Linked DNA regions of Ovis aries. The protein of the gene in region 2 interacts with the protein of the main gene of each other region in a pairwise test. Links are inferred from orthologs where the notes say so. Each region holds a gene or a part of one and is shown on either strand. Other genes may lie near its edges. The genes, in order: ELK4 and SRF.

Region 1 (9,055 bases), on a different chromosome or scaffold from region 2:
AAAGATCAAAACCACACAAGACACTGCTTCACACCTACTAGGATGGCTATGATCAAAAAGGCAGGTGATGGACCTCCTGGCGGTTAGGAATCTGCCTGCCAATGCAGGGGACGTGGGTTCGATCCCCGAAGACTCCACATGCTGTGCGCCATAACACTGAGCCCATGCCCCACAACAAGAGAAGTCACCGCAATGAGAAGCCCAGACACCACAGCTAGAGAGAGCTCGAGCACAGCAGGGAAGACCCAGCGCAGCCAAACAGAAAGGACAGACGATAAGTATCAGCTAAAACGTGGAGAAAAGTGAAACCTTCATACACTGCCAACAGGAATGTAAACTGGTACAGCCACTTTGGAAAAAGGTTGCAGCAGTTCCCCAGAGTTAGCATATGACCCAGTAATTACACTCCTAGGTATATATCCCAGAGAAATGAAAAATATATGTCCACACAGACATTTATAAGCAGGATGTTCAGAGTGGTATTCATAATATCCAAAAAAGTATAAACTACCCAGATGTCCATCAACTGATGAGCAGACAAGCAAAATGTACCCTTTCCCTTCTCCAGGGGATCTTCCCAACCCAGGGATTGAACCCAGGTCTCCCACATTGCAGGCAGATTCTTTACCAGCTGAGCCACAAGAGAAGCCCAAGAATACTGCAGTGGGTAGCCTGTCCCTTCTCCAGCAGATCTTTCTGACCCAGGAATTGAACCAGGGTCTCCTGCATTGCAGGCAAATTCTTTACCAACTGAGCTATCAGGAAAGCCTCCATATAACCACAGAGTGGAATATCAGCCAGAAGAAGGAATGAAGTAGTGATATGGGCTAGTTCAATGGATGAACCTTGGAAACATTAGGCTAAGTGAGAGAAGCCAGCCATTAATTTGAATAGGCAAAAAAAGCAGACTGGTGGTTGCTTAGGGCTGGGAATGGGGGATGGGTGTGGAAAAGAAAAGGGGAGTGACTGTTAATGGGGTGATGAAAACATTCTAAATTTAGGTTACGGTAGTGGCCATACAACTCTGGGAATATACTAAAAGCAATGAACTGTACACTTCAGGTGAATTTTACTCTATGTGAAATATATCTCAATAAAAATGTTAAAAATAAACACCCCAAACAACACAAAAGTTAGGCCTGAGAAACCTAACTCTAATAATGTACAACTCACAAAGAACGGGATCCTTAACTATGTCTGCTTCCAAAAAGACCAGAGATGAGGAACCATATTGGTAAATATCTCATAATTTTTCTGAGACATTCAAAATGTCCTATTATTCAGTCATAAATTTGAAGCTGGTTATACAGAGATACTGTCATCCAAAAGTAGAGATGAGAAAATACCTAAGAATAGAAAAAGGGAGATGCCTCCCAAAGTTAGAGAGTTACAGAGAAACTGCGGCCACGAATCCAAGTCTCTTTCATCACAGTCATGTACTCTGTCCCTGAGGGAAACCACTTTCCTAGATGGGTAAGAGCATTCACATTACCTAGGATTGTAAAGAAGTATTACATTGTTAGATAATAACTGACAATAACGTACAAATATGAAGTACTACTTTAATGCTAAATAACCATGTTCACTAGAAAACAGCTTTCCAGGGCCTCACTTAAGCTGGGTTAAAACAGTGGTTTTATACTATATCCATCAAGTATAGTTGAGGGGGATGGGTCCCCTGTTATTTCTCTTAATTTACCAGAGAGGCTTTTCTTCTAGTGCTGACTGTCATGGTAAGTTACTTTTAAACTATGTATGTTCCCCACTTAAACAATTATTTGTTAGTCTAAATCTGTTACAACTATTCCCTAGTAAATTTCAGCTTAACCAAAGAACTCAAGTCTTTACATTTCCAGACACCATCTTCAGGTTAAGAATGCTTACAGCAGTGTGAGTATGTGTGAGAGAGACGATGATGGTGACGATGCTGAAGCTAGGAGGAAGGGAGGAGGGAAACGACAGACAAGCAGAGAACTGGAAAACAGGTCTGGTGCCTATAATTTCATTTATTTTTGGAAAAATTCCCCAAACCAAATCCTAGAGTTCTATGCCTATCTTGCAGATAATGCTTGAGCTCTACAGGTTTATAATGGCGAAGCAATACGTACAAAACGACAGATATAACCATGAGTATTTCCGCAACAAGCACACAAGAGTCATCCTGAGCAAATGGGAAGTGTTCCCAAGGTGGTGTGGGTTTAATTTCCACCTCTCCCTTCGGTTATTAGGGGAAAGTGTGGATTGAGCTTGAGTAAGTTCCGGGAGTTGGTGATGGACAGGGAAGCCGGGCATGCTGCAGTCCATGGGGTTGCAAAGAGTCAGACACGACTGAGCTGAACTCAACTGTGGACTGAGCCAAATCCTGGTGGAGCTGTTGGATACTGCATGGCAGAACCTAACTGTGTGGCAAACGCTGAAGCTTCTGTAGTGCTTTACAGTGTGTCTAGGATAGAAAATTATTGTGAAGAAAAAAATGGGCACTGCGGTTTTGGACTGAAGTACTGGAAAAAATTTTTTTCTATTAGGAAAAACTAAGGAAGACGTAAAATGGACATCCTCAGCAGGTACTTTAAAGGAATATTTTACTCATTCAACGTTGATATGTTTCTTTGATTGAAAAGGCGGTGAACCACTGGGCACATAAGCTGAACCTCTTCATTTGAGTTCCTGAAAGTGTGCCATTGATATGAAATTCAATGATTTCTTCAGCCGTAAAAGAGAATTAAAGTAAAAAAAAGTCAGAAATTACTTAAAATTACAAAGGTGAAATAAAGAGACACAAATAATTTAACACTTTTATTCTTACTCTTATCAAAAGAAACCCAAATCCTTTTTCTTGAAAACCCTTTCATGAAAACCTCAGTGTTTCCACAACTACAGTTTTCCCCCAAAATTTCAGTTTTAAAGAGTTTTTTAGAAGTAGTATAATGAGGGAGAGAAATACTTAACTGATCCAAATGAAGGAATCTGATTTTTGAGGGGTTAAATATGGAAAACATAATTGATTCTAACACTTAAAGTGGAGAAGGAAATGGCAACCCACTCCAGTGTTCTTGCCTGGAGAATTTCATGGGCAGAGGAGCTTGGTGGGCCACAGTCCATGGGGTCACAAAGAGTCTGACAGGACTGAGCGGCTAACACTAACACACTCACACTTAAAAGACAGTAGATTAATTCCTGTGCTAAAAGGAAAGAAGGCGCATATTGGAAGTAACTCATTAGGGAAAGGAAGTCTCTACTAAATGAAACCTTTTCCACCCTAAACATGTTTATCATACACACAGCCCAGTTGCTGTGGTGACCCATGGCCCAACTATTTTTCAGAAACAGTAGCTAAGACCCAAAAAATAAATGTCTCCATATTCAGAGTGCTGCTTAAGTAAAATAGAAACAAATTATAAAATGTATTAAGGCGAATTTTAAGTTAAAATCTTTACAGCTGTCAAAAAGTAACCTGGCGTATCTAACTATACAGTATTCCATACCAACAGAACACTAAAAGTGTACTATTATAATAAAACTTTAAAACAACATTTCCCTAAATGGATTCCCCTTGGGCAGTTTTTAACGTTTAAATAAAATCAAAGAGGGTTACTGAGGAGGAAAACTGAATCACAATAGGTTTTAAAGAAAATACCACTGACAGTCTTAAATACTGAAGCACCAAGTTTTCCACGCAGTGGGACGGTGAGTGGAAGATGGCAAAAGAAAAGGAAGAAGGATCTTATTCACCAACCACAGAGATGGGTGAACCGTTCTGATGAGGGATGAAACTCTGAAGTCTTTTTCTTTAAATGCCCTAAACTTCAAATACCAATAGCCTGGTTGGGGGGGTGGGAGTGGGAGCCAACTGTGTATCTCTTAACTATCTCGGTCAACAAGGTCCCTGCCCAGGTCAGTTAACCTTCGGCCCCCAAAAGATGTTTCCAACTGGTTTTCCCAAGAAGGAAGCCTCGCGGCAGCTGTGTACTAACCGGAAAGTAACGAGGGGAGAGGGTTGGCTGGAAAGAAGTAGAAAACACACTGAAAGTCGACGCCGGATGGGTTCTGAGCGTGGGGAGAGGAAGAAACGCGGAAGACCGCGTACCCCGGGGAGATCAAAGTCCGGGCCCGGGAGAGCACCGACTCGCTGCGCTTTCACTTTCCAACTTCCTGTCACTACAGAAAGCCAGAGACGCTCCCCTCGGGCCCTCCCCTCCGCCACCCCGGCGAAAAGAGAAAAGAATAAAAAAAAAACAGCCACCTTTGGCCCCAGGGGCCTCGCGGGACCAAATAAGGGGCGAAGGGAGCGAGGCGGGTCTGTCCCGCGCCCACCGGCCCGCCAGCGGGGCCCCCGGGCGCGCGCCCCGCGCCCGCTTCCCGAGGGGCGGCCAGCCCCCCGCCCCGGCGCCCCGCCGGCGGGGGCGGCGGCCGCGGGACGCGGACGCGGACGCTCACCGAGGCCGCGCGCGGGGCTCCCTCCGGGTCTCCGCCTCCAACAAGACGCTCTTCTCCTCACGCCGGGAACTCGAGGACGGCGCGGCAGCCGCTGCGACCCTCGCGGCGGAGCCGGAGAAGGCGCCGGCGGCCGAGCCGAGCCCGCCGGGTGCCCGCAGCCGCCCGCATCTCCCGCCGCCGCCGCCGCCGCGGCTCGTCGCGCCCCGCCCTCCCCGCCCCCGCACGCGGCGGCGGCGCGGGTCGTCAGGGCCGCTACCCGCCGGGCACGCGCGATCTGGGCGTTCCTCGCCGCGGCTGAGCCTGCCACTCGCTCCGCGGCCGCCGCCTCTCTCGAGCCCCCCCGGCTGCGTCGGGGGCCCCTCCCGGCCGCCCGAGCCGCTGCGCGTCACTTCCGGGGGCGGGAAGGGCGCGGCCGGCCGCTGAGGGGCGCTACCGGCGGCCGCCGACTGCGTCCGCGGGGTGCCGGATGAGGGGCGCGGGCGTGAGGGAAGCCGCCCCCTGGGCTTCCCCGCGTTGCTCTCTCCGCCGGACCGCTAGCGGCTTCTGCTCCCTGAGGCGCGCGGTCCGAGCCCGCACGCCAGGGCTGCCGCTTGGGTCAGGACTTCGGAGGCCTCGGTGTCTGCCCCGCCCTGGGGAAGGGGTGGCGCTCACCGAGTGGCTTCCAGGGGGCCGCGCGTGTCGTCGCGAAGCTTGAGTGTGAGGGCTTTCTCCCTCCAGGCCGCCCGTCCTGCCTTGTTGGCAGGGTGGACGGAGAGGTCGGAACCGCCGCAGCTGGCTCGTGGAAGTGCCAGGCCCCAGGGCGCTGTGAACAGCGGATAGACGTTCAGTCAGCCCTGTGGCTCTCTCGCCCCGGGGCTGACAAAGGGGAGCGCTGGTCGAGTGGGGAAAGCTCGTTCTGGCGTTGGAGTCGGAGACCTGGAATCCGGCCGTGGCTCTGCCTCTCACGAGCTCGCCAATCTTTAAGAACTTTCTTTACCTCCCCAAACAATTTCATCATATGGAAAATGGAGAGAACCCAAGTATAATCACCTCGCGGAGTGTCTAGCCCATCAGTTCAGTTCAGTCGCTCAGTCGTGTCCGACTCTGCTCATTAAACACAGTTCTTAAGGAACCAGGTCACACTTGGTACAACTACTTGAACAGTATAGAGGCGGAAGGTGTAGAGAGACTGCTGAACAAAAACCTCCAAGAAATATACTGTGTATCCCACTTAACAGGAAAGCAACAACAAGCCAGTCCAGTGTCCAGCTACTAGCTTTGAGTCCCTTCACCTCTCTGAACTTCAGTCCCCTCATATAAGGTGAAGATCATGTACAGCACTGCTGAGAAGATAAAGTATGAATAAATGATGGTGCCATTTGTAAAAAATGCATTTATTGGGCTGTGCCAGGTCTTAGCACACAGAATCTTTAGTTGCAGCCTGTGGGATCTAGTTCCCTGACCAGGATGCATCCTGGCCCCCTGCATTGAAAGTACAGAATTTCAGCACCTGGACCAGCAGGGAAGTCCTGATGTCATTTATGTTTGCCTCCTCAGCTCCACAGTTGATTTCTCTGCTGCGGCACAGAGAAGCTTGCAGGATCTTAGCTCCCCAACCAGGGATTGAACACTGGCCACAGCAGTGAAAGCAGGAGTCCTAACTACTGGACTGCCAGGGAATTCCTCATGGTAAAATTAGTTGAGCTCAGTGAAATGTGATCCTCTCAGGGAACTCTATTTAATACTCTGGAATGACCTACATGCTGCTGCTGCTGCTGCTGCTGCTAAGTCGCTTCAGTCGTGTCTGACTCTGTGCGACCCCCTAGACAGGCAGCCCACCAGGCTCCCCTGTCCCTGGGATTCTCCAGGCAAGAACACTGGAGTGGGTTGCCATTTCCTTCTCCAATGCATGAAAGTGAAAAGTGAAAGTGAAGTCGCTCAGTCGTGTCTTAGCGACCCATGAACTGCAGCCTACCAGGCTCCTCTGTCCACGGGATTTTCCAGGCAAGAGTACTGGAGTGGGGTGCCATCGCCTTCTCCAGGAATGACCTACATGGGAGAAGGTTAAAAAACAGTGAAGTGAAAGTCGCTGACTCGTGTCTGACTTTTTGTGACCCCATGGACTTATACAGTCCAGAATACTGGAGTGGGTAGCCTTTCCCTTCTCCAAGGGATCTTCCCAACCCATGGGATCAAACCAGGGTCTCCTGCAATGTGGGCGGATTCTTTACCAACTGAGCTATGAGAGAAACCCTAAAAAAGAGTGGATGTGTGTATAACTGATCTACTTCGCTGTACAGTACAAACTAACAACATTGTATATCAAGTATCCTCCAATAAAAATTAATTTTAAAAAGCTATCAGAAAATACTATGAATAATTTTATGAAGATATATATGAAAACTTAGTTGAAAAAGTTCCTAGAAAAATTATGGATTTAAAAGGAAGGAAGGAAGAAATATGATCTTACTATCCCTTTGAAGCCTTTTGGAAGAGAATCATCACTTACTTTGATTTCCAACCTCCTCCACCATAATACAGAGTGATTATAATGCACAAAGCTATTCATGGAAAAGCAACAACACCTAAAGATGTTAGGCTTTAAAAAATAATTTTACCACATATTTTCATAAAGAAATGTGTTCTGCAGGGCTTCCCTGATAGTGCAGTTGGTAAAGAAATGTATTCTACAAATGAACCTATCTATGAAACAGAAACAAAATCAGGGACTTAGAGCATAGAATGGTGGTTGCCAAGGGGTGGGAGTTTGGGACTATGAAAAAGAATGTAAATATATGTGTACTGAGTCACTTTGCTGCACAGCAGTAATTAACACCATACCATAATCCAAGTAAACTTCAATAAAAAATTAAAAGAAATATATGTTTTGTGAGACTGACATACTGCCTACTGTGCTAAGGAGGCCACTAAGAAATGTGTTTTAAAAGGAGCATCCAACACCTGAAAAGAACTAGGGCTCCTGGGCCCTACAAGATTTTTCCTTACAACAACTTCCATTTTAGAAACCAAGAGGGAAAAAGAAGAATTCTTAAAGTAGACTATTTAAGGTACACCCATTGGAAACATTAGGTTATGGGAAGGTTTCATTTTGAAGCCCCATACCAAGAATAGTTAAGGGCTGTAGAAGCTCCTTGGCAGATTACCCTGCTGTGCCCAAACTAGCAGGAAACTTCACATTCAGCCTCAGGGTCTTAGTTGTATCATAACCCTGTAGACTGAGCTGCCAGTGTTGTCAATTGCTGTGTATTTTTGGAAAAGAGCCTACTTTGGGAGTTCTTAAATTAGTCATAGCAAGTCTGTCTGCTTTTAAATTGACTGGATATTTTGTTTGTTTGTTTCAACACAGTATATGCTGACAGCAGAGAAACTAGAAGAAAAATGGATTTCAGAGTAATGAATTTTTTAAAAAGTTTATTAATATGCCTGTTTTTCCCATGCAGGATTCTATAAATACATAATCTCTCTCCATGGTTCCTTACACAACAGATGGTTCTGTTTTTGAAAACTCCATGGTGGTTATGTTGGTCAACCAAAAAGACTGTGCTTTTTTGTTATCTTGTTTGTCATTTTCCCACCAGATAGATGGATTCTCATTCTTAACTACTCAGGGCTATCTCACATATAATTTGCAGATTTTATACAGTGTTTAAACACGTGTTTCTGCCTGACATGTCCTAGAGTGTCAATTATCCCAGACCTGCCACTCCAGTTCCCCTAATGTAGTGACATTTCTAAGAAACAGTAAGTTATGATCGTTTCTTCTTAAGGCAACTTCCTGATCCCTCTCTTCTATTTCACTACCTCATCATTACCCTAAGTTAGCTCAGGCAGCCCTCTGTGTCCAGGGGTTCCACATTCATGAATTCAACTAAACTTCTGGGAAAAAAATTCCAGAAGGTTCCAGAAAGCAAAACTTTAATTTACTGCACACAACTATTTACACGGCATTTACATTGTGTTAGTATTATAAGTAATCTAGAGATAATTTCCTGGCTTCCCTGGTGGCTCAGACGGTAAAACATCTGCCTACAATGTGGGAGACTCGGGTTAGATTCCTGGGTCGGGAAGATCCCCGGGGAAGGAAATAGCAATCCACTCCAGCACTCTTGCCTGGAAAATCCCATGGACAGAAGAGCCTGATAGGCTACAGTCCATGGGGTCGCAAAGAGTCGGACATGACTGAGCGACTTCACTTTCACTTTCAGAGATAATTTACAGTATATGGGAGGATGTACTTTATATTCAAATACTTTATATATGGGACTTGGGCATCCTCAGATCTTGGTATCCTCAGGGTTCCTGGAACCAGCCCTCCACATATCATGAGGGATAATGTATCCCTTTTTCCTAAAGAGATGTTTCATGGACCCTGACTCACTGAGCAAGCATGGAGACAGCCAGTTGACCTGCGCGTCTTCCCGGCAATGTCTTACAGCGCACAAAATAAAGAAGAAATAACCTTCGATCAAAAGGAGCGCCAACAACCCCAGGGAGGGACGGATCTGAGGCAGATCGCTCCGTGTCTGATACGAAAGAAGAAAAACCAGGGGTTTCTGGCTTCTAGCCAAAGCTTGATCCTCCTGGGGAAATCCTCTTGAGGAAATCTAAGGAAATAACA
Region 2 (8,351 bases):
GGCAAACTGAGCATTCTAAGAGTGGGTTTAGGGCTGGTGCAAGGAGAATGTCTTTTCTTACTCAGAAGGAGGAAGGACAGGGGCCAGAGCCTGAGAGAAGCCTCTTATGTCCCATTGGTAGGCATGCCCCTCCCCCTTGGGACTTGAACTGTCCTTGTCAGTAAATTTCCACCATATACTCTGGCCTTGCCTAGCAAGCCCAGCCCTGTGCCCCTACTGCCACAGGGACAGGAGACATTCTACCACTTCCCTGCCTTGACTGGAAGGCAGATTGTGTCCTTGATGGATGGGTGCCTGCTCCTGTGTCAACCAGAGAGTGTAGAGGCAGGGTCTGGGGCAGGGGAAAGAGGGAAGGGCAAGAACAGAGTATGGAAGCCCCTGGAGATAAGATTCTGGACCTCAGGGGCCTCTTTGGCTCTCAGGAAGGATAGTGATGGGAGTTGGGGATAGAATGGCAGCCCCTGGGCCTGGGGGTGTTTGAGGGAGCTTGGTGAAGGTGGTGGTGGTGGTGGTGGGTAGGACAGAGCACGAGTAAGTCTCTGTGTCTTCTAGGTGGGGCAGTGGCCCAGCAGGTCCCAGTGCAGGCCATTCAGGTGCACCAGGCCCCACAGCAAGCGTCTCCCTCTCGCGACAGCAGCACAGACCTCACGCAGACCTCCTCCAGCGGGACAGGTATTGCTTGAAACTCTGTCACCTCCCTGCCCTGCCTCATTCATGAGACCTAGCAGCAGGTGCCCAGGATTATCCATCCTGTAACTAAGGTCAGCAAATTTCTTAATGTGGAGACTGAGGCTTTTGGGTTAACCCTTTCCCTAATCCTTATGAGAAAGGCAGGTGAGGATGGCTAGTTTTGAATCCTGCCCTGCAGTGGGGCTGTGGATTTCAGGAAGAAATTGGGGACCATTGAGGCCACTCTTCTTCTCACTCAGGTGAAAAGCCTGAGGCCCTGAAAGAAGTTCCTTTCCTATAGACACACATTTGCTCAACTGCCAGGAAGGATTTACAGAGCAGTTGTCTCCTTGTGGGAGGATATCCTAGCTTTTGAGTAATCATAAGTCCCTTCCATGTCTCTAGTCATTTTAGAAATGATCAGACACTTCCAAAATAAAATTGCTTTGAAGTTCTTGTTAATCACAACCCTGTTACACAAAGTTTGGTCTGTGGAAGGAGGACCAGCATCACCTGGGAGCTTGATAGAAATGCAGACTCTCAAGCCTCACCCCAAACCTACTGAATCAGAATCTGCACTTTTAACAAGATCCCCCGGTGATTGTACGCACATCAACATTGGAGAAGTGCTTGTTTTAAAGCTGGTTATCAGCTGCATGTTGAGGAAGAGGGAGGAGGAGTAAGAATAGATGTGAAATGGGGTGGAGCCTCTCTCTCAGAGAAGAGGATCTGAGTTTCCTTGGCTTGGGTCAGTCATTGTAATCTTTGTTTTTCCCAGGGCCTTGGGGTCTTGGAACAAAGCAGATAGATAATCGAATAGAACGCTGTGATAGGATACATTGAAAGGTTGGTGTGGTTGTGTTCAAGAAAAAAATAAGGCTTTTCTCAGTCGATGACAGGGAACAGAGAAGGAGCTTTGTCTAGGTTTCGACCTGGGAAATGGCAGGAGGGCTCTGGAGGCCTGGAGTTCCTGGGGATGGGATGGGAGCTCTCAGTCAGCACCAGTGCCAACCTCCCTGACGTGTGTCTGTGTTTGCCAGTGACGTTGCCTGCCACCATCATGACGTCATCTGTGCCCACAACTGTGGGCGGCCACATGATGTACCCCAGCCCCCATGCGGTGATGTATGCGCCCACCTCGGGCCTGGCTGATGGCAGCCTCACTGTGCTCAATGCCTTCTCCCAGGCGCCATCCACCATGCAGGTGTCCCACAGCCAGGTCCAGGAGCAAGGTGAGTCAGGGGCAGGGCTGCAGAAAGGAGGACCATTTCCTCCCTCACACACACAGACACGCACACACACACTCACATGCCTCCCCTCAACTCATATGCACACACACATACCCAAACCAGATGCTCACACACATACCTATATGTATACACACACAGATGCTTCCACATGCACTCGAACACCCACACTCACATGCACACTTGACACATTTGGGCACTCACCCTTGGGCATTTACATCTGAGACTCACCCAGTCAACTTGTGCACTTATCATCACACCTCCAAAATCTGGAAGTTTCTCTTGAGCAAGTGATTTGAGTCTCTCCTGTGGTTATCTCATGCAGGTGGCGTCCCCCAGGTGTTCCTCACAGCACCATCTGGGACAGTGCAGATCCCCGTTTCTGCAGTTCAGCTTCACCAGGTAGGTGAGGGCACCTTCCATTCCAGCCAGCCAGCCTCTTCTTTATCTTGACTTGGGGGATTTCATTACTAGGTGGTCCAAGCCAAGATCCTTAGCCGGGAGGCCTGTCCGTTTTCCTGGTCAGGCCTGGGTGGTGGGCAGGTGGGCAGGCAGGCAGGGGGCAGCCTGAGCTGGCCAGTCAGTTCCAGACCCCCACCTCCTCCTTACATACCCCCTTCCCTTCAGATGGCTGTGATAGGGCAGCAGGCCGGGAGCAGCAGCAACCTCACCGAATTACAGGTGGTGAACCTGGATGCCGCCCACAGCACCAAGAGTGACTGATCCGCCCTGCCGCCCTGGACAGATGGCCCAAGGGACGGCACCACTTATTTATTGTTGCCTTTTCACGTTTTCTTTACACACATGTTGATGGGCCGCAGGAGGGAGGCGGGGAGGAGCGTGGGCAGCCACAGGACTGAGCCCTCTCACTCCAGCCAAAGAAATGGGCCAGCCTGCCCTCCACCCCGGCCTCCCGACCCCCCCCCCCAGCTCCGCCTCCCATTTCTGTTGCCGGTGGGGCTGCCCTCCCTCCTCAGACTCCCCTTGCCAGCTTGGCTCCATGTTTTCCATGAGTATTAGCTTACCCGATGGGACCGTGCCCCCCACCACCATCACACACACAGTTCTCTGTGGGACTAGGCACTGTGTCCCCCTGAGGAAGCAGCCGGTGCCGGTGCCGGGGGTGGGGGGGGGGTTGCCCTCTCTCCAGTCTCCTTGCTGACCCCACATCAGCACTGTGTTTGCCACAGGCTGGGTCAAAAGAGCCTGCCCCCTGCCCCTCAGGGAGCCAGCTGGGGAGATGGGGCTTCTTCCCTCAAGCCGGGTCTGTGGCCCCTACAGCTCCTGAGCAGCGGGGCCTGTGCTCCAGCACAGCAGATTCCCAGGGCGACCTGCCCTGCCCTGCCGCTCCCTTCGGAACTCCAGGGGCTGCTGGCTTGGAGGGAACCACCCGTGTTCCCCTGTCTTCCCCCCTCTCCTCCCAGCTGCTTTACTTAAAGTTGATTTTGAACTTTTTATTTGAGGAGACGAAGTGAAAACAAATCTATAAATATATATTTTTAAAATATTTAACTTTTTTTTATGGCGTTTTTCTCGTCCCCCTCCCTGCCCAAGCTCCCCTTCCCTGGGGAGCCCTGAGGCTCCCCGGAACTGGCTGGGCCTCTGGGGACAGAGCCACCCCATGAGCTTGGGGCTCGCCAGTGTGGGGGGGGAGATTGCCCGGTCCTGGGTTGTTTCCAGGAGAAAACCGGGGGAGGGGCCCTCAGGCCATGCCCCAACGGGGTGGGGAGGGTGACCCACAGCTCTGGGCCTCTTTTTGCCCTTCAGAGCTGTTGCTAGGGAGAGGGAAGAGGGAGACCAAATGTGGGTGGGGGGTGGGAGGGTGTCAGAGGCAACTGACTTCATTTGTGCCACATGCATGGGCATTGCAGCCTTGCGCGCCCCCAGGCCTGCAGCTGCCTGGGGCCCAAGTTGCAGTGAGCAGGGTGGGGTCTGGGAGGGGGCGAGAGGCAGGATTGGGGGGCAGAAGAAATGGGAGCAGCTCTTGGGCTGAGTGTGGGGTTAGGGGAGCCAGAAATGGCAGCTCTCCCAGGGAGTGAGCAGCTACTGTAACTTTTTAAAATTAAGACAAAAAGCCTTGAAGAAAATGACTTTATTTTTCTAAGTGTAACCTCAGTATTTATGTAATTTGTACAGGGGCCGTGCCCCACCCCCTCTGCCCCCTTTGGGGTAGATCTTGAGGGTGGGCCAACATGGCAGAGGGTCTTTTACCCTGTGTCAGAGCCTACCTTCACCACCTGTATCAGAGAGGGAGCTTTTTCAGAACAGGGCAGTGGGGGGGTGGGTGGAGTTTTATTAACCCCTTAGGTCTGCCTTGAGTAGAAACAAGCCTGCTTCTGTGATTAGGTGAAGGGGTGGGGGAAGTTTATACATACAGCCTAATTATCATGGGGACGATTTGCCGACATGTTTGAGAACCTCCGGACCTCTAACCCCCTTTGCTGTCTTGCCCCAGTTTGGGGTGCCAAGATGGAAGCCATCTTTCTGGCTTTCTCCAGAAGATAGCAGGGGACTTATGGGTGGCTTATGGATTGGGGCATGGCAAATCAGGGGTCAGAGAGTGGGGGAGCTTGGGACTCAGGTCTGCAACTGCCCAGCCCCTTTTCTCTACTCTTTGTTTTCACTCCACCATCACTCACTCACTCCCCTCTCCCTCACGCTGGGGAGGAGACCTTGATGAATTCCTCCTCTCCTTCCCACAAAAGACAGACCCAGTGAGTGAATCAGGCAAAGTGCTTATAATGTGTGTTGTGTGAGCGTGGCCTTGGGAGAACATGCGTGCGTCAAGGATGAGGTGGCATTTTTACATGCAGCGACCCTTGGTGTTTCCCTTCCTTGGTGGCTCTGGGGTGTGTATGTGTGTGTGCGCGTGTGCCCGAGTGAATGTGTGTGTGCGAATGTGGGGTGTGTATGTTAGTGGTTTCTACTTCCCCTGGGATGCTGACCCAGGAATAGTGGACATGGTCACAGTCCTATGTACAGAGCTTTCTTTTGTATTAAGAAAAAAATACTCTTTCAATAAATGTATCATTTTTGTGCACAGACTGTGGGGTCTTTGCCTTTGTTTTACCGTATTGGAGGGTGGGAGGTATGAACACAAACGTGCTGAGAAACAAGCACGTTCTTGTTGAATGAAACGCAAAGGGGTGCTTTGGGCTGTTGAACTCTACTGATTTGACTTAAGGAACACATCAGGGGTGATGGTTAGGGGCCTTTATCGTCAGCCCCAGCTGTGCTAGGTACTTAGTCAACACGGAGAGAAGCAATTTTACTATTAGGGAAAAGAACGCAACCAATCCAAAGCCTCGGGTATGGGAAACTCACGGCCACGTGACCTAAAGCAAACTAAGAGGACAGCCCTAGGATGGGAGTGTGCGTTTCGGTGGGAGACGAAGAAGGCAGACCCAGCAAAGGGCAAGGAGGGCTTCAAAGCCGATATTGGAACGGAAAGGGCGGCCTACGCCTGCGGAAAAACGGGCCTCGCTACCACGACCCCGAAGCTCCGCGGGCAGCGCGCCCCCAGACGCGAGTAGCACGCATGCTCCGCTGGCGCACGGTGCCGCCGCCGCGCTCGGCTGTGGGCCGCGGTGGGACCCGTAGCCGCCCGGCCGTGCGCGCACTGGCGGCGTGACCCGGAAGGGAGCCGCGGAGGAGGCGGGGCCAGCACTGCGGGACCGGCGCCGGGCCCCAGCGAGGGCCGAGCCGGGAGCCGGGAGGTGGGAGGTGAGAGGAGAGCTCTGCGTCCTCCCCGCCCCTGCCCCGTCCCTTCCCCGGTTCCTTGCCCACTCTCCGTGGCGCTGACGACAGGAGCCAGGTCTTGCCGAGATTCGCTTGGTCCAGTCGGTCCGGTCAGCCTCCTCCGACCGCGCCCCCCCCACCTCTTCCGCCCCCCAAGCCTGTTCTCGCGGCGGTGCGGGCCTCCCGCGCCGCCCTTGCTGGCTTGCAAGCTCGGGCCTGACTTGCCACCTACGCCTACCTGCTGTCTCATCCCCGCAACCAAGACCTCGCCTCCGCATCTCAGTTCATTGCTCCTGTTCTCCAGCCCTTCCTCTCCCCCCATTTAGGCTTTTCCGATTGTGTTACTTCATCCCGCTCATCAGTTGTCCATCGCACATCACTTGGTTACCTGCCTGTCTTGCCCTCCCTCCAATCCCCCGCATGCTATCCGGACCCCTACCCCCTTCGAGAGCCACATCCGTCTTTCCCCTCCTCTGCACGCCTTTCTTCTACTCTCATCCTCTATCCCTGTACCCCAACATGACCCCTGCTCTGATCACCATTTCTTCGTTTGGGTTTGCTGTCCGTTCTTATCCTCACCATTCCCTGTTTCCCCCCCACTGCTTCATATCTTTCCCTGATCACTAACATAGCCGTCACTCCGCACCTACTTATAATCTTATTCTGACACCTACTTATAATCTTATTCTGACACATTAGCGTTCTACTTACCTGGGGACGGCTCCTACCTTCTCCCTCGCTAAGAATAGTAGTATTAGATTCTGTTTACTGAGCACTCTGGCTGTATGATAGAGGCTGTTCTGAATGCTTTATATATGTGATCTTAGTAAGTGTTTATGACAATTTTGTAAATTGGGTTTAAATATTATTATCTTGCAGAGGAGAAAACTGAGGCTTAGAGATTGACTTGTCCAAAAGTATGCATATAAGAAGTGAAGGAGCCAGAATTCAGAGTCCCATTTATCTGAATCTGTACTGTATTGCCTCTCTTAATACCTCTACTGTCTCCTGACCTCATTCCCTACCCTTCAACTCCATGATTATTACCTCCATCTAGATCTACTTAACTTAGATCCTTACCATACATACAGCATAAGGGCAGGGTGGGACTTGGTTTTTTTCCTCCCATAATTTTATTTGGATCCCTAGTCCCCTCTCCCTTTCCCAGTGTTCTCATACCTTTTTGTCATCCGGTCATCTGCCTCCTTTAGTCTCTCTTCTTAATATCTGCCATGACCCACCCCTTTATACCCACATTCCCGCTTTAATCTGTCATTTATGCTCCCTGTCTTGCCCCTTCCCCATCCTGACTTTCCTGACTTGTTCTGACCCCACTATCTCACAGGCTACTGTCCTACCTGCTCACCCATGTCATCCTTCTAAGTCCTGATCTGTACCCCTCAGCCACCCTCCTGTTCTGCCCAAATTGTCCTGATTAACCATCAGCTCTTTTTCTTATCTTGCTTTCTTCCTTGTAATTTCTTCCATTTCGGAAACCTTTTCATTTCCTTCTATCACTGTTTTTCACTCTGTTCTCCTTGTTACAAATCCCAAAGTGTGTTTAGGTTATTTATTCCATCCTATCCTTGGCCTTTTCTCTTTGGCCTCCAAATTCCATGCAGCCTACCAGTCACCCCTCACCCTGTATGCACCTCAAGTTTCCACCCCCTTCACGTAGGTTTTTCTCTTTCCCACAGTGCCTCTGTCTCTCTCCTGTGTGTCCCAGGAAGTCAGGATGGTGGGAGAACGGCGCACTGGGGACCTCATGGTGCCCTTGGGGCCCCGGCTGCAGGCATATCCCGAAGAGCTTCTTCGACAGCGGCCTGGACAGGATGGGCATCCTGAATACCTGATCCGATGGAGTGTCCTGAAGTGTGGGGAAGTGGGCAGAGTGGGTGTGGAGGAGGGCAAGACAGAGCACATCCTCATGTGGCTGTCAGCCCCCGAGGTCTATGCCAGCTGCCCCATGCTGTTAGGGGAGCGGGCGTTATCTAAGGGATCTCAGCACGAGACAGCTGGGGGTTCAGCAAGCTTTCCGCGAGACCCAGGCAGTCTGGATGACGTGGCCATGGGAGAGATGGAGGCAGATGTGCGAGCACTGGTGCGCAGGGCTGCCCGGCAGCTGGCAGAAGGTGGGACCTCGAGCCTTACAGCTGCTGTGCTCCACACCATCCACGTGCTCAGCGCCTATGCCAGCATTGGGCCCCTCACCGGGGTCTTCAGGGAGACGGGCGCCCTGGACCTACTCATGCACATGCTGTGCAACCCTGAGCCTCAGATCCGTCGGAGTGCCGGCAAGATGCTGCAGGCCCTGGCAGCCCACGATGCTGGTGAGAGACAGCCATGGGAAGAAGGGAGCCCCTGGAGAGGATGGGGCCACAGGAGTAAGAACAGGAAGAGGAGGGGTTTCCCAGCTCTGGAAGAGCACCTAGTATTTGGTAGACATCAATTTCATTGCAAAGGGAAAATGTAGATTAATAAGCCATCACAGGTGCAGAAACAGGATAGAATGATAGCACCTGATTTAGCTGTCTGTTCTCAGGGCAGAGGCAGAGAAGAAACGGGAATAAGTTTATGTGTTCTGGTTGGAGATTTGTTAGTTGGTTGTGAAATCACTTTCATGGGTTATAACCAGCATTTTTTTTAAATGTTAAGCATCAGCTCAGAGCGCTTAGTGTAAGTCTTGTAGTATGAAGT

The links.
Region 1: the proteins of SRF (region 2) and ELK4 interact in a two-hybrid assay, tested with the Homo sapiens proteins (2 studies listed by BioGRID and IntAct). The link is inferred for Ovis aries from reciprocal best matches to the Homo sapiens genes SRF and ELK4.

Annotation. Positions count from the first base shown.
Region 1 is NC_056065.1:3,246,710-3,255,764, forward strand, and holds the start of ELK4 (ETS domain-containing protein Elk-4), read right to left. Parts: upstream 4,608-9,055; 5' UTR 4,438-4,607; intron 4,147-4,437; exon of another isoform or gene 2,587-4,146; intron 1-2,586. UniProt on the Homo sapiens protein: Involved in both transcriptional activation and repression. Interaction with SIRT7 leads to recruitment and stabilization of SIRT7 at promoters, followed by deacetylation of histone H3 at 'Lys-18' (H3K18Ac) and subsequent transcription repression.
Region 2 is NC_056073.1:16,773,735-16,782,085, forward strand, and holds the end of SRF (serum response factor), read left to right. Parts: intron 1-552; coding exon 553-672; intron 673-1,709; coding exon 1,710-1,901; intron 1,902-2,241; coding exon 2,242-2,318; intron 2,319-2,543; coding exon 2,544-2,639; 3' UTR 2,640-4,960; downstream 4,961-8,351. Other genes in the region: CUL9 (cullin-9), read left to right, coding at 7,390-7,984. UniProt on the Homo sapiens protein: SRF is a transcription factor that binds to the serum response element (SRE), a short sequence of dyad symmetry located 300 bp to the 5' of the site of transcription initiation of some genes (such as FOS).